Arabidopsis thaliana: one gene and its partners. The protein of the gene in region 4 interacts with the protein of the main gene of each other region in a pairwise test. Each region holds a gene or a part of one and is shown on either strand. Other genes may lie near its edges. The genes, in order: AT2G24400, AT1G79130, AT3G12830 and AT4G33920.

Evidence for each region.
Region 1: the proteins of AT4G33920 (region 4) and AT2G24400 interact in a two-hybrid assay, tested with the Arabidopsis thaliana proteins (one large-scale study listed by BioGRID).
Region 2: the proteins of AT4G33920 (region 4) and AT1G79130 interact in a two-hybrid assay, tested with the Arabidopsis thaliana proteins (one large-scale study listed by BioGRID).
Region 3: the proteins of AT4G33920 (region 4) and AT3G12830 interact in a two-hybrid assay, tested with the Arabidopsis thaliana proteins (one large-scale study listed by BioGRID).

Annotation. Positions count from the first base shown.
Region 1 is NC_003071.7:10,376,403-10,380,362, forward strand, and holds AT2G24400 (SAUR-like auxin-responsive protein family), read right to left. Parts: upstream 2,244-3,960; 5' UTR 2,128-2,243; coding exon 1,591-2,127; 3' UTR 554-1,590; downstream 1-553. Other genes in the region: AT2G24410 (SMAD/FHA domain protein), read right to left, coding at 2,769-3,005; AT2G24420 (DNA repair ATPase-like protein), read left to right, coding at 3,745-3,913.
Region 2 is NC_003070.9:29,769,186-29,772,394, reverse strand, and holds AT1G79130 (SAUR-like auxin-responsive protein family), read right to left. Parts: upstream 1,178-3,209; 5' UTR 1,077-1,177; coding exon 672-1,076; 3' UTR 508-671; downstream 1-507. UniProt on the Arabidopsis thaliana protein: Provide a mechanistic link between auxin and plasma membrane H(+)-ATPases (PM H(+)-ATPases, e.g.
Region 3 is NC_003074.8:4,078,149-4,081,587, reverse strand, and holds AT3G12830 (SAUR-like auxin-responsive protein family), read left to right. Parts: upstream 1-1,960; 5' UTR 1,961-2,072; coding exon 2,073-2,471; 3' UTR 2,472-2,937; downstream 2,938-3,439. UniProt on the Arabidopsis thaliana protein: Provide a mechanistic link between auxin and plasma membrane H(+)-ATPases (PM H(+)-ATPases, e.g.
Region 4 is NC_003075.7:16,258,833-16,263,609, reverse strand, and holds AT4G33920 (Protein phosphatase 2C family protein), read right to left. Parts: upstream 3,103-4,777; 5' UTR 2,735-3,102; coding exon 2,476-2,734; exon of another isoform or gene 2,230-2,475; coding exon of another isoform or gene 2,220-2,229; coding exon 1,843-2,219; intron 1,504-1,842; coding exon 1,267-1,503; intron 1,177-1,266; coding exon 907-1,176; 3' UTR 556-906; downstream 1-555. Other genes in the region: SSN2 (zinc finger SWIM domain protein), read right to left, coding at 1-35, 151-172, 258-318. UniProt on the Arabidopsis thaliana protein: May dephosphorylate and repress plasma membrane H(+)-ATPases (PM H(+)-ATPases, e.g. AHA1 and AHA2), thus influencing negatively plant growth and fitness.

The DNA of each region.
Region 1 (3,960 bases), on a different chromosome or scaffold from region 4:
TTTTGTCTGTAATGTGTCTCATTCTCATGTAGATATTTAAATCTATTTCATTGATTATTCTTAAAAAATGGGATTTCCTTGTCGTTTAACGTATAACCTCGACACCCATCTTTAGAGCAGAAAACTATTGAGTCAATGTCGTACACTCCCAACTGTTTTTATGATTCCAAGGCATATGGTTTGTTCTTGTTAATCTTCTGCTGGATCATGCTGTCTTTAAGTTTATAGAAACCTGCAATTCATTATTCTCGATATAAGGTTCAGGAGATAAGTGCACATGTATTAGGCGATTCGTTCTAGATGGTGTTAAATCTCAAGGTACAGATGTCATGTGGTGTTTTCCGTTTTATCAGATCTCTATGTTTTCTGTTTTGACTTTTGACTCTCATTAATCATTTTGGCAGAGAACTAACATGTAATGTGATTTTATGAACATCTTACTCTTCCTTTCTTGAATCCTGTTTGGTTTAGGGGATTGTAAAGTCAGTCCTTTTGATATTGCCGTACTCTTTTGAGATGAACGTATATGCATGTGATCACAATAATGTAGCTAGTTAGTTTATGTAAGAATTTTTCTGTGACTCTGCTATTAGCTTATTATATTACTAAGCATCCGTATTTTAGCTTTAGTTTTTGTAAGAGAAGCTTAGGATACCGTACTTTTGCCTTTGAATAGTTTAAAAACAACATTCCACTTGGTGATTAAAAGTACCATTCCGTAATTATTGTTATCCTTACATTATCATATTATTTTAAACCTCTGATTACTTTAACATAACTCTGCAACTTCCATTCACATGGTTGTTCCGGAAAGAACGCAAACTGCCCAAATAGAAACATGAACCATTCTTTCTATTCTTTTTTTGTTCTCTCTCTCTCTCTTCTTATTTCTTAATAGGCGTAGCATTTTGGCTTATTATGAGCTTGATTTCTGCTTAGAGTTAAACGACAAAGTGCAAATGTTTAATTCGTATGACTCATTATACCTCTAGTTGCATAAGGGTCTATCTGCTGAGGTTATAGATCAACTTCTATAGTATTCCAAACTAATAAAATCTTCGGTTACCATAAATTATCTTGCCTACGTGATATGTTTCTACTGACTTGTGCTGCAAATGCAGACGACTGGATTACAAAGGATCTATGAAAATTTGTGTAAAAGTTCAGATAGTGTTTTTGCTTGATTCACTTATTCAGTATTTGATTTTTTATTGTACCACGAGTCTACTGCATTTGTCATCAGGAATAGATGGTTAGATCAATGGGCTGGTGGGTTCTTGTGAGAAATTCCACCAGAGCAGAGAAATATCAAAGAGCCGTTTTAAGTTTTCATCAGTCAGAGGTAGTGCAACAAAAATTGAAATCAGTGCAGAGAAAGAATAAAGAGTCTCCAGGAACAGAGGTCCACATCACGGTTTCAATGATCTGTTTGTACATTCCACTATTTAGAAATCTCTCCCCTTACTCAGAATTAAGAAATTTTAAAGCACACAAATCCATATTCCTAGAGAAAAAGTGGGAATAAGCAGAATGGCTCAAATTAGCACAAGAGGAGGAAAAAGAAGATGCAGAAGCAAGCAATGAACAAAACTATCTGCACATTGGGCTGTTGTGAGGTTGGTGTGAAGGAGTCTTAGGACAGTCTGATGGATGCTGGTAACTCGTCTTATCATCTGCTGCTGCATTGAACTTACATTCCTGCTTAGCTGTTATTGGCGTCACCAGGTACCCTTCGTTCTTCTCCTCCATTATCTTCAATATGCTCTCAAAAACAGAAACTTCACAAGGAATCCTCAAGACACCGGCTTGTTGAAACCCGAACTCTTCTTCTGCCTCACGCAGAAGAACATAGAAAGCTTGATGGCTGAGGTACTCGGTTGGTATTGTGTACCTCTTCTTCTCTAACCCGACCGAAACAGCTAGATACCCTTTAGGCACAGCTGTTACATCTGTAAATGACAGTGTCCTCTTCAGAAACTTGATGCTCTTGCTTCCCCCGCCACTGCTATTGTTGTCTTCGTTGTTGTTGTTGGCTGCTTTTGATGCAATTGCTTGTTTTCGCCATTTCTTGAGAAGCTGTTGAAGCTTAACGATCTCTCTGATCTTGTTTGACTTCTTGGCTTCCATGGTGGAGATAGAAGACAAAAGACAAGAAGTTTGGTACTATGTTTTGTCTAGCGTCTGTCTCTTTCTATGTGTGTAGTGATTAGGACGTGGTGAATATTGAGAATCGGGGATATATAGAGGTGGTGACCACGGAATTCTGATTTAATTAGTTTTGTTTCTGCTTAAAATATTGTGCTAATCATATGCTTTGGTTTTTTTTAATGATTTAAACCAACTTGAATTTGTTGACAAGCAAAATTAAGCAGCTTGAACTTAGAAAATGATATTTAACATAACCTCAAATTTTGTCACCAAAATCAGACAGGCAAAGCTGGCTCAAGCATCGCTTAAATCCCTGTAAAACGCAACTATGTAATTAATATTGAGATATACTTGTTGCTTTCTGACTCTGATTTCATTCACTCGGCAGCATTCTCGTGCTCTCGGCTGCTGTTGCCAAATCTTATGGTATCTTTCTCAAAAAGCTCATAGTACCGTTGTGTCTCCATCAGACTTTCATTGATGTAAGTCTTATAGGTACTACTAAGATCCATAATATGTAAGGCCTCACTTGCTTCTTTCCCATCATACCATATGGCTCTTTCTCTTTTTCCACCTCCCGGTACTGAATAACAGCATGTTGCTTGCTACAAAATGTGTGATTAGTAGGAATGTCGGATCTTTCTCTCACGTCCAAAGAGGTAGCAAATTTGGTAATGAATGCAAAGTGTCTCTTTCAGTGGTTCACCATCCTTAAAATGATAAAGTCTCCATCTTTCTTTGGGTTTTCTATTATCTACGGGATTATTGAAGAGGAGTGTGATACCTTTGTATATGTTGGTTTCTTCAGCAAGTTTCCTCGATAGCTCAAAACATCGCACACCATGTTTTTCAATCATCAAACATGAATGAAGTAGCAGCTATCGAGATTCTCTCTCTCGTCCGGTACTTAGCCAACACCCTTCCTCCGAATCTCTGAATGTCAGATTGATGTCTCCTGGCACTTGGAGGATAATCTAAGCAGACATGGATGGGTCCTAATCGATCAAGATAGTATCTTCCATATAGGTCTCAAGAGTTTGAGAAGATGTCTTTCACCGTTTCATGCGGAAGTTGACTCCTTACTTTAAGCAATTGAATGCATGATCGTAATTAGTGATATATTTGGAGTTTTCGCTTCCGGTTACTCTGATATGATATCTTTCCTCGACAACTATAACGAATGACCAATATTTGTAATAGAGATAGTCTATTTTCGATCTCTCATTTGTTTCTTTCTTTTTTTAACATTACATTTTTTCATAGAATTCTAATACTCACAGATTGTTTAATGATTTTTTCTTACAAAAAGTATCATTCAGATAATTTAATAAAAATGGTATCGCAGTGCCTTTATTTACCTTTAGGAGTAAGTTTTCTTTCTTCCGATATCCTAAATTGTTCGACACGTGTCAATCACGAAACCACAACCAAAAAACCTTGTCGTCTTCTCCAATCATAAAAAAAAAAAAAAAACAGTGTCCCAATTTGATCAAACAAAACAAATTCATAAATTCGGAGAAGAGAACGAAAAATCTTCTTGTTGGCAAATCTCCGGCGAGATCATCTTTCTTATTTTGTTCCACGGAAGTTTCAGACATGGCGGCCGCGAAACTCGTGGCGTTGTTACTTCTTCTCGCCTTGGTTTTCAATTTCACCACTTGTATCTTTGCCGACGCTGGAATCGACGGCGGCGATGAACCGAAACTTAGATCCGACGGCGGTGATATCGAATTGGATCAGCTTAATGCTAAAATCCGTGCCCTAGGTTACACTCAGAACTTTACAGTTACTTCAATTTTACTTCTATGTCAA
Region 2 (3,209 bases), on a different chromosome or scaffold from region 4:
ACAGTTCGCCACAAACCGTTTACTTTGTTATAAAAATAGAGATGGAGATCTCAGCTAATGTATGTTGTACGCTGTGAACAGCAAATTGTTCCCCACAAAAAAAAAAAGTCCAGCCGTACAACGGTACAAGAAGATACGGCCATGTTGAGACCTTTTGTTCTAGACCCCATTTTAATACACCTATAACTATAAGTCTCTCGTCGTTACTACAAGATATTTGCTACTTTATACTATATTTTTTTCGAATTATCATAGGTCTTCAATTAATAAGTACAAAAATTCAATAAAAAATATGTGTAATCATTATAGTGGATTTACATCTTTTCATAGTGTATTATCCACGCAAGACTCACATCGCATCATATATCTGAACTTTTCAATCAATTAAATGTTAGGTGTTGGGACGATATCATGGATATATAATTCATATTGACTTCAAATTTAAAATAATTATTATTATTATATAGTTGATGATGATCCGTAGTACGGTACGTGAAATAACTTGTATTTTGTCACTTCAATTTTATTTCACAGTACAAATTAAATTGATAATTTTGAGATAAAATCGAAAAAACAATTTTCATATCCAAATCATCAAGACGAATTTCTCCGATCACTCAAATAAAAAAGGAGAAGATCGAAGAACAAAAAAAAAACAGAATCATCATCATCTACTCTGTAGATACATCTTCACCAGATAACGATGCAATGAGCTCCGATGTATCATCAGCGATGCCAGATCGGAGAGACTCTACAACCTGCTCGAACACGAATACGTTACAAGGAATATGAAGAACTCCTTTCTGAGTGTATCCGTATTCTTGAGCTGATCGATTCAGCAATCCAACGAAAACAGGATGATTCAGCAGCTCTGCACTCACCACGAACCTCTCCTTATCTTCGCCTACGTTGACGGGAACGTGACCGGAAGGAACACTCGACGCGACGGTTGCTCGCTTGACCAAGAAAACTGAAGAGGAGTACGTTGACGTCGGGTGATGGATATCGCCGCTGCGATTTCGGTTGCAGGAGGATGAGTCTGCGATTCGTGACAGACGTCGAATCAGAGGCTTCATCTTTGATCCTAGACAGCCAAAAATGCTAGAGACAGAGAGACATAAATATGGGAGAGAGGTGTGGACTCACATTAAGCTTATCAGAAATGTGTATATTAAGTATTATTATATTTTGAGATGACACAAAAATGGTATTTAATTTATTTCATACATATATGTGTTAACATAATGAGTCATGGTCAATTTAACAATTGAAAGAACTACCTAATTTTGATTATGCAATATGAGAAATTCTCTAAATTTGGTTTATTTTCAAAACTTTCCTCACTTACATTAGTCAAATTACAAATAAGAATAGTAAGGGTAATTGTTAACAAATGTGGATTGCTAAAATCAAATTTTGATTATTGTACAAATTAATTTTAGACTTTTTTATGTATGATGAAATGTACAGAATAAACCAAGAGACTATGTAGATAAAAATCCGTTGTATTTATTAATCTATTTCTTACCATGAATACGTAATTTTCCCGTTTGATGGTAAATTAACATATAAATACACAGAGACGAGTGGATAAGAAAAAGACGTAGTATTTATTAATTTACTTTTTATTTGCTTTCCATGTATATATATTTTCATATATATATAAAAGAAAAAGAGTATAATTTAGCAAAATAACAAAAATATAAATATTGATAGATGGTTTTTGTATCATAATTTATTTAATTGTATTTCTGGAATTAATATTCTTCTTTGACTAGATTTCATAAGAAAGTAAACGAACACAAAATTAATGTTCATCTTTGACTTTTTTTGGAGGGAAAAGAGTGTTTAAACGTGGGAGAACAAGAAACAAAGCTTGTAGCCAAATTAAATAGAAGACAAATAATCATTAGTGAGAAAAATTCTTAGATTCCTAATCTTCTTTGTGTCTTTTCCATCAAACCCTAAAAAGATTCACGTAAGAGATGTCGAGATTTTTGGAATAGTCAAAGAAGGTCGATCGGATTTTGAGCTCCCTATTGAGATTCTATCGATAATTCCGACGGATTCTTTCGAGCAACTGGATCTCGCGAAGAGGCGATTATCTGTAAAGTGTCGAATTTGGAGGAAGAGGTGGTCGAATTGAGGAAGAAACTCCATGAGATGGAAATGAGTATTCACGAGCTTGAAAGGGATGTCTAGGCGTGGTTAGTTTTCGACGTTTTCAAAATTAACACTTAAACTTATTTTTAAAAAGTAAACTGTAAAATTAACATGGTTTTAGTTAAAATTTATCAGTTATTTTAAAATTGTTCTAATTTTTTTTAGTGAAAATTATTATTATTTTTTAAAAATGAGTTTAAGTGTTAAATCTATATTACGTGAAAACCATGCCGAACTTCGAACACCACAAAACTTACGGACCAACTAAGGACGGGATGCCTAGGCGCGGTTAGTTTTCGATATTTTTAAAATTTAACACTTAAACTAACTTTCAAAAATTAATAATGAAATTAACATTGTTTTAGTTAAATTTTATCAATTATTTTCTTAAAGTTTAAAGTTTTAAATTACCACTTTAATTTAAATCTTTTTTTTAAAAAAATATTTTTATATTTAAAATGTTTATTTGAAATATATTGCCAAAAATACCCTTAAAATCAAAATTAATTAATAAAAAAAAATTGGGAAAGCCAAAAACCTGGATTTGCTGAATCGTTGAACCATCGAAACTCCAAAGCTGCTATATAGTCTTCGGTTTCACTGTCCCTCTTTTGCCACTTTCTTCCTCGCATCATTAGCCGCCGGTGAAAGTGTTGCGGTGGTGATCCATATGGAATTAGGGTTTGACTGTTATGATATCAAATGCACAACAGAGGATATAAATCAATATACGAAACGAGACGATCCATCTCTTACGGGTAGGTTCTGAGATGAATCCGTTGAGATCTTCTTAACAAGGAAAATAACCGGATGGATTTGTTGCCGAGAGTGGCTCTACATGAATCCTATCGGCTTTACGAGATTGGATCAACGATACTTTCCACGCCGATCAATCAATGAAACGATGCTTTCCGCTCCGATATCAATCTAACTCTTACGGATCATGTTGCAGAGATGATCATCATCGGCTTTTCACGTCTTCAATGTCTACTAATTGGATCATCATCGAATTAGAGAGTTTTGATTTTATTTCACTCAAAGAAGAA
Region 3 (3,439 bases), on a different chromosome or scaffold from region 4:
ACAATTTCACGCGCCATTTTTTTCAAAGAAATTATAAAATGGGAAAAGATGTATATAATCAAGTCACAAAACTGAATGTGTATTAATAGATTTGGGCAATATCAATTTATAAAGTCACCTGATCATAAACCTATGATTAATTTGTCATGATTCATGGCTTGAGTGCATTTTGCATAGTCGGATGCTTCTTCTAGAGGTCACAACTTACAAGTAATCTTTTTGTTTTGTGGCAAAGACAAGTAATCTATTATCAACATTAATAGGTATAGCGAATCGTCACTTATGAAGTTTGATTCAATCGAGCATGCAGCTATATATTTTGTAGTATATGAATTAATTATATCACTTATATCCTTGAATGGCTTGTGTTTATATTGTCATGATGGTGATAGATTTTTATGTTTACACAATGAAAACGAAAATTTGTTAAAATTTAATAAGTTTTTTTTGGCTATTTTTTTAATTAGTTATGATCTAAAATAATAGACAGTACAGTGATTAATCTTTGAAAAATATATTACATAATGGAAACTTACAAGTAACTTACATCTTATTTTAGTTTTCAATGATGGTTACGTGAGGATATGAATATGACCAGAAGAAAGCTAAATGAATATTGAAGTCTTTTAAGTCGTTGAGGGTGAGTATGGACTATTTGAATAATCTATACGTACTGGTTCAAAAAGAATTCATAATATTTACACAAATGGTTCATATCTAATCACTTGGTCCAAATTCTAGAAGCCTTTTATGTCATTTTCTTGGGGTCAACAGAAGTTGAAGCTCCACATTTTGTTTTGTAATATTTCCATCCAGAATATTTAGTTTGTATAATTGTATTTGATTTATGAAATTTAAAATCCAGCCTATATAGTAGACTTTGTAACCAGATTCTGAAGGCATCATTTATTCCTATGGGGATTTAAGACTTAGGCCATATGATAGATCACATATTCAATAAAAACCATGAACATTGTTACGAGTATGAAACCATATATTTAAATGGCTATATACGCTATCTTACAATATAAATTTGTATGCAATTAACTATTTCCATATACAAAATTAACTAACTTTTCCACACTTCATCCATATTTAATTTCTAGCTTATTATTTAATATATTGAAAATATAATTATTAACGAGGGGATCTTTTGATAAAAAAAAACGAGGGGATCTATCTTTCTCTACACCTTATATTTTGAGTAGGATTAAAGAAAGAAATGTAAAAATTGGATATGTAAAAATTTTCCAAAGTGGAATTGGATATCCAGTCTTAGTTGAAGTAGGATAATAGATGATTAGATGAAATGATATTAACTACATGTACATGATATAGGATTACAAAGTATATGGATTAATCTAAACAAAGATATATAACCCTTTTTTTTAATTTGCTTGAATGAAAATTGTATTTTGAACATTATATTGGCCTCTTGTAAATTATAATCAGTTTACCATGAATAATGTTATTATTTTCCTGATAACTACTTGTAATTAATTTTACAACATCATTAAGATATATTTTGGGTTGCTCATGAACCTCGTGTATCTATTACTAACAAGAAAAAAACTATATCTAATCTTTCAATAAATTGGTAGAATAACCAAGGTAAATTAATTGCTATTTTAATTCCAATTATGATCAGAAAATACAATAATATCATTATACTCAAAAAAGATTATGATAATGCGGGGATATATATTGTTAATGGAAATCCAAACAGTTATCTAAGAGAATAAAAAAATCTTAAAAAAATAATCAAAGATTTACATCAAATGAATATGATATTTTATCATATTATATATTTTTAGGATTTTATATATTTTTCAAAGTCAGTGGAAAATTACGAGTAAGTGTGTGTACCTGGCAAGTACTCCTTCCCCGTACCTACTTTATCAAATACACATTCCCCAAAATACCCTCGACTCAATATAAAATCCAAAACCTTCCCTCACTCTCTCCTTCACAAAATTCTCATTGATTCTCTCTCGAATTCTCAAACATCCGTTTTCAGTACCAATCACCAAAAGTTTCTCTCTTCTCTCTCTCAAAGTCACAACACGAAGACGATGAAGCAACTAATCCGTCGTCTCTCTCGCGTCGCTGATTCCGCTCAATACAGTCTCCTCCGTTCCGATTCACAGCGACCTAGCCGCCGTTCCGAATCCTTCCTCCGTTCTTCGGTGACTCGCCGCTCAAAGAAGCAAACCTCCTCTGTTCCCGAAGGACACGTACCGGTCTACGTAGGTGACGAGATGGAGAGGTTCGTCGTTAGCGCGGAGCTACTTAACCATCCGGTTTTCATCGGTTTACTAAACCGATCTGCTCAAGAGTATGGTTACGAGCAAAAAGGAGTTCTACAAATCCCTTGCCATGTCCTTGTCTTCGAACGAATCATGGAATCGCTTCGTCTTGGACTTCCGGTACCGATTGATGTTCAGGATCTAATCGGTGACGGGACTATTTGAAGAAGAAGCTTTTATTGGAAGGAATCTTGGTAGTTAGAGAAGTTTTTTTTTCTTCTAGATCTGGTTGTTTTTGTTCAGATACTACTGAGTCATCATACTTCGTCGTCGTGTCGATGTAAATAGGTATATAATTTTTCCAGGATCCAAAAGTGGAAGAGGAGACGCATTTAGGGATTTTCTTTCTCTTTGTTGTTTGCAAATTTTCTAATTTTTTCGCCGGTTTTAAAAATCGGTTTGAAATTCTTGTGAAGTTTTTTTATATGGAAAATTTGCATCAGTTTGGATCTCTTTAATTTCTGGGTTTATTTGACATGATTACAGTTTTTTTTGTTCAAGTTAAACAAAAAGAGGATTTTGATGTTTCACCGAGATTATCGGCAGGGTAAATCCGTCAATGCGATACATCAAGGGGATATGATAAACTGTAATCTGTGGCCGTTACTATAATATTTTTAACCCGATACTCAAGTAGTTATCTGTTACCTTTAGCTTCTCTAGAAGAGAGTATATCTTTTGGTAAGTAATGCCAAAGATTCATAATAAAATATAGAAAAAAATAATTGAAATTCATAAAAAAAAAACTAGTGAAACCATGTGGGTTTGCATCTGTAGTTACATTCTTTCAGATCCAAAACACAAGCTTGATTCCAAGCCCAATACAGTATTATATAGACCACAAATATTGAAACTAACATTTGTTTCTGGCGTTCCAGTGTCTATCTAACCATAATTGAATGAGCTATGAATTCGGTTAACATGGTGAATCTTCAGCTAGTAGACAAATGAGTTGGTTTTAAAAGGGCAAATACTAACACTTTTATCATTATATATGGGATCTCACTTTATTTGCACCGTTGGCACTTATCTAATTCACACATTACACATAATGGTTTAGACATATTTTTAGGTAACCTTCGTTTTATGTTTAATCAGCTTTACTTATATAGAAACACCACCACATGTTTATA
Region 4 (4,777 bases):
CTTTCTCAAGATTCTTACCAAACAACAGCTGCAAGCTGTATTTGCAAAATTAAATCGATAAACCCTAATCATACCAAACGACTGAAGAAAAATCAATAAATATTTTCGGGAAAAATAAAGAATCCCAGCTATGTATAAGAGAGAACTGACATTGAGAGCTGTTCTTCGGTTACTGCAGAAAAAGATGGAAAATTCAACGGAATAAAATGTCGTAAACAAGGAAAAGGAAAGAGAGAAGTAGTAAAATGGTGAAGTACCTGAACCGGTTGATTCAATGTTCGACCAAACGGCGTCTGCGACCAAAAGAGTGACGTTCATCGTTTTGCTTTTTCTTCCGTCGAAACTTTTCTGAGAAAGTTCTTCTGGAATTGTTGAATTTTTGAGTTTGAATTGCTCTGCCCAATTTCATATTCTCAAAAACCGCTCGTGTTCAATTCGGTTTAGATATTTGACAAATTTCAATTTCGGTTTGATTTGGATCTGAAGTTTCGAATGTCTGTCATGCATATTTTCCAAAATTTAGGCAACATCTGGAATTTTGTTGGCTTATTTTGGTTTGTGATCGATAATGTTTTTATTTAGTTATTATAGACAAATAATTCAATATACTAATCTCTCCATACAAGGTCATAAAAAAAAACAATCTGATATATGAAGAGTTGTCCTCAACGGTTTCACACTAGATTTTCATACAAAAGTATTGTTTGTGTCAAAAGCAAAACTGCTTTGCCCAAAAACTAAAGGGTTTCGACCTTCTTTGCTGGTAAAAGAATATACAAATCCAACTCCAATATTGAAAAAAAAAAAAAACCAGTTCTTCGTAGAAAAACAAATAAACAAATATGTAAACAAGTTTTCTCCCTATTCGGATCTTTCCCAAGCAGCCATTTTACCATAATCAAACAGTCAGTATAACACATTGAGTAACCGTCGTTGCTCTGCTTCATCAGAGTGTAATGAGTAGATATCCGGTGGAGCGGTGATACCTCCTTGCTTCACCAATTTACTATTCGATGAACTGGTTTTGTTTTGATCTAGATAAACTACAATAACGCTTATGTCGTCATGGAAATGTCGTCGAATTCCTTTGGCTATTTTCTTTATATCTCCATATCTCATTTCTCTCTTCTTTGCCGCTTCTTCCAGAGCAGCTCTTACAAGTCTTCGGGCAATACCCTGTAGAACACAGAGTTAATAAATAAATAAACTAAGTAGCTAACATAAATGTGAAGATACAAAGCAAACTTGAGTTTAGGGAAAACTTACAGTTCTTGGGTGTTTGAGGACGATTTCTACGGCTGTTTCATCACTAAGATGTTCCCAGAGACCATCTGATGCAAATATCAGAAACAAGTCCTGTGGCTTAAGCTTCCTTACTATAATGGAGGGTTCGGCTGTCATCGCGGGTCTCCTCAAAGGAATGGGATTTCCATGTCGCTGGAAAATCGGGTCCCTGTAATACTCCGGTTTTTTCAAGTATACATCCCCAATTGATCTCGATACCTATAAAGAAGCGTATATGAAAACGATTTAGCTAACTAATATACAACGAGCTCAAACATTCACGGAAAGGTCACAAGCAACTAAAAAGCATGTATCTTCATTATTATGTATAGCTCTGACTACCGGGAATTCTTAGAAAAGCACAAAATCCACTGGGGAAGAAACGTTGCAGGAGCCCGTGTGACGGATTCCTGGAACATTGCAAGCCCCCATTTATATAAATGAAAAGAGAAAAGAAAAAACAACATCAGATTACACCTTTTAAATATTATAACTTCATCACAGATGCTATGTAATCACACGCAATTTAACAAGCAGGCAAGCAAAACTAAGTTATACCTGAATAATGCCTTTAATCCGCCAAACTCCACGTGTGTATAAGACGATTTGTGAGTCATCAGGGTTAAGTGCCTTAACCTCCTTTCTCACTTCTTCAACAGCAACATTATGATCAGTAGATAACCGTTCAGCTACGGCACCTTTATTACTATCAACCCCTGAAACAACGCTTCCAAGAACGGCTCTCGAGTCCCCAAGATTAGCAACATACAGTGTGTCATTAGAGATTGCACCAACAAGACAGCAAGATCCTACAGTAGCCATTTGCGGTTTCATGGGAAGGGATCGTTTAACCATACCACAAAACTCTTCTTCTGTTTCTTTGAATGCCTTTTTGATAACATCTACAGATAATCCCCCATGTTCTCTTGCAAATTCTGCAATCATAAAACCAATCCTGTAAATTTCACTAACAAGAACATGACTACAAAATCAATTCAAGAGGCAATTTACAAACCTGAACATGTTCACAAAGACCAAAACTTCATAGCAAAATTCGAATCTTTTAATATTGAAATGATCAGGGTAATAGAGATCTCATAAGTTTTGACCATCAAAAACGTAGTCAAAGAGTCAAAAGAAGAAAGAATCCTAAAACAAGTTTAGGGAAGGAAGAGTGGGATTATAACTTACTGTGCATATAAGGAAAGAGATGTCTGTTAACGAATCTAGAAGCTTCAGGTCCACCATGACCATCGTATACACCGACGTAAGTAGCAGAAGAAGATGTGAAAACCTGACTCTGATCTTCAAGCCTGGAATTGGCTTGAACCACCGCGATCGAATAATCACCGCCAGCGTGAGGTCTCAATTCCGATTGCCAGAGTAAACCATCACCACTAGCTCTGCTTCCCAAACACCGTTCGAGAGGCCGTGCTAAAGCTCGCAACATCACAACCTACTTAGGGTTTTTCTATACAGAGAGATTCTGAGTGCAGTAGAGTTAGAGAGAAAGAGATAACAAGATTTTCGATTCGATTGGATGAGAGAAATCGAAAGGTTTTTTTTTATTGAATTTTGATTCGTTCGTTTTTGTTTGATCTGATCGGTTTTAAGGGATTCGTGTGTGTGTTGAGTTGGTGGTGGTAAAAGAAAACCGCGTGAGGAAGAAGAAGAAGAATATTGATAGAGATGACTTGTACTTGTGCCGTTTCTTAGAAGGCTACGTAGACTACGCGTCGTTTTGTTTTAATTTCGCCCTCCCCCTTCTCTTTTTTTTTGCAGTTTTTTTCAACGCGTTGTTTATTTTTGTTATTCTTCTCCATTTAGCTTTATTTTTCTCAATAAATAGACAAAGTTTTGGCCCAAACATAAACGTCATTGCCGTATATTATACTAAAATATCTTTCTTCTGGAACAATTCAAAAACTTAAATTCTGATTCGGTCCAACAAAAAAATATCTAAATTCAACAGCTACTTTTATTTCTTTTTGAAATAGGAGATATTATATTAATGTAGTGTATAATATATATATTTATTTATATGTGATTTACAGAGTCAATGTTTGAATATTATTTAGAAATAGTAGACCCTTTTGAAATATAAATTCATGTCTACGATGAGTAAAGAATCAATTAAATTGTTCATGTCTACAAAAATGTTTACATCGTCTGCAAATAGCAATAAATTAATTCTATTTTGTGTCTTATATATTTTGTATTTGAATATATCAGTGGGAAATTGTTATAATGAGCGAATAATGAATGGGTAAGGATGAGTAACCTGTAGCCAACGTGTAGCTGATATATTTGCTTGTCAACTAAGAAAGACGGATAACAACTGAATACAATTTCTTGCTAATAATCTAGTCATCTTAGTATCTATATTATTATTAACCTAATTTTATTATCACGTTACCGTTTCCGGTATAAGAAAAAAAACATGTTCTGGTCAAAACAAATCTTTGTGTGCTGTGTTCTAGAGCATACTATTAAAACGATGAATATTATTGCTTATGGAGTAATTTATATTTAATTACAAGTGGCACATTTTTATTTGGTTGTTATAAAAAGGTTTGCATTTTGGGATTAAGAAATTGACGTGGAAGGACTTATATATATACGCGGAAGCAACTGGAAATTCATTGGCCCAAGTTGTCGAACTTTTTTGATCATGATGTTTACCTTTACATTTATAACATTATGGATGCGTATTTATCGTTGTTATGGATCATAGGGTGATTTTCAACATATATAGATCCATTCATTTTATTTTTTTTAACATTTGCATATCCACTCATATTATACCGATGCATACAAGATTCATCAAACAAAAAAAAACTTAATTAGTACTACTATTATTTCTGTCAATGCTCACTAAGAATCTCTCTAGTATCACATCTCTCTTCAGTGAACAATGCTCTGTGAACCCCAAGAACCAAACATTAAATGAGTCACCTTCTTTCTTAAACAACAGTTCTATAGCCCACAAAGAGAGCTCCTTGAACCTTCTTCTCGACACAAAGGCTACTTGAATCTTCTTCTTGCTTATTCTTTTCTAAACTCAAATCTCTATATGAAAATCATTTGTAGAATGGTTACACATTTTATTTGGTTATCAAAAAGAAGTTGCAAGAATATAGACTATTAGTTAAGAAAATAAACTCATTTGAAATTTCGTTGGATAATGTATTGATCTCGGCTTAAGACTCTCTAATTTGACTGTATATAATTAATAAATAATCATTCTTTACTTTTTAACCATAAACACAATTCAATGTTGGACTACATATCCACCTTACATTCTAAGATCGATTCCAAGTCATTATCGACAGCCTGAATGAAGCAAAACAACTCAAAAGAAGCCCACCTAATTCAAATCACAAAAACGTTCAAGTTCCATCGAACCAAAACTTAAACCACTCTACGCAACCAAACTTCAACCAAAAAAAAGGATAAATTCGGCGCATTTTTTTGTATTTGTTGACCAGTGAAG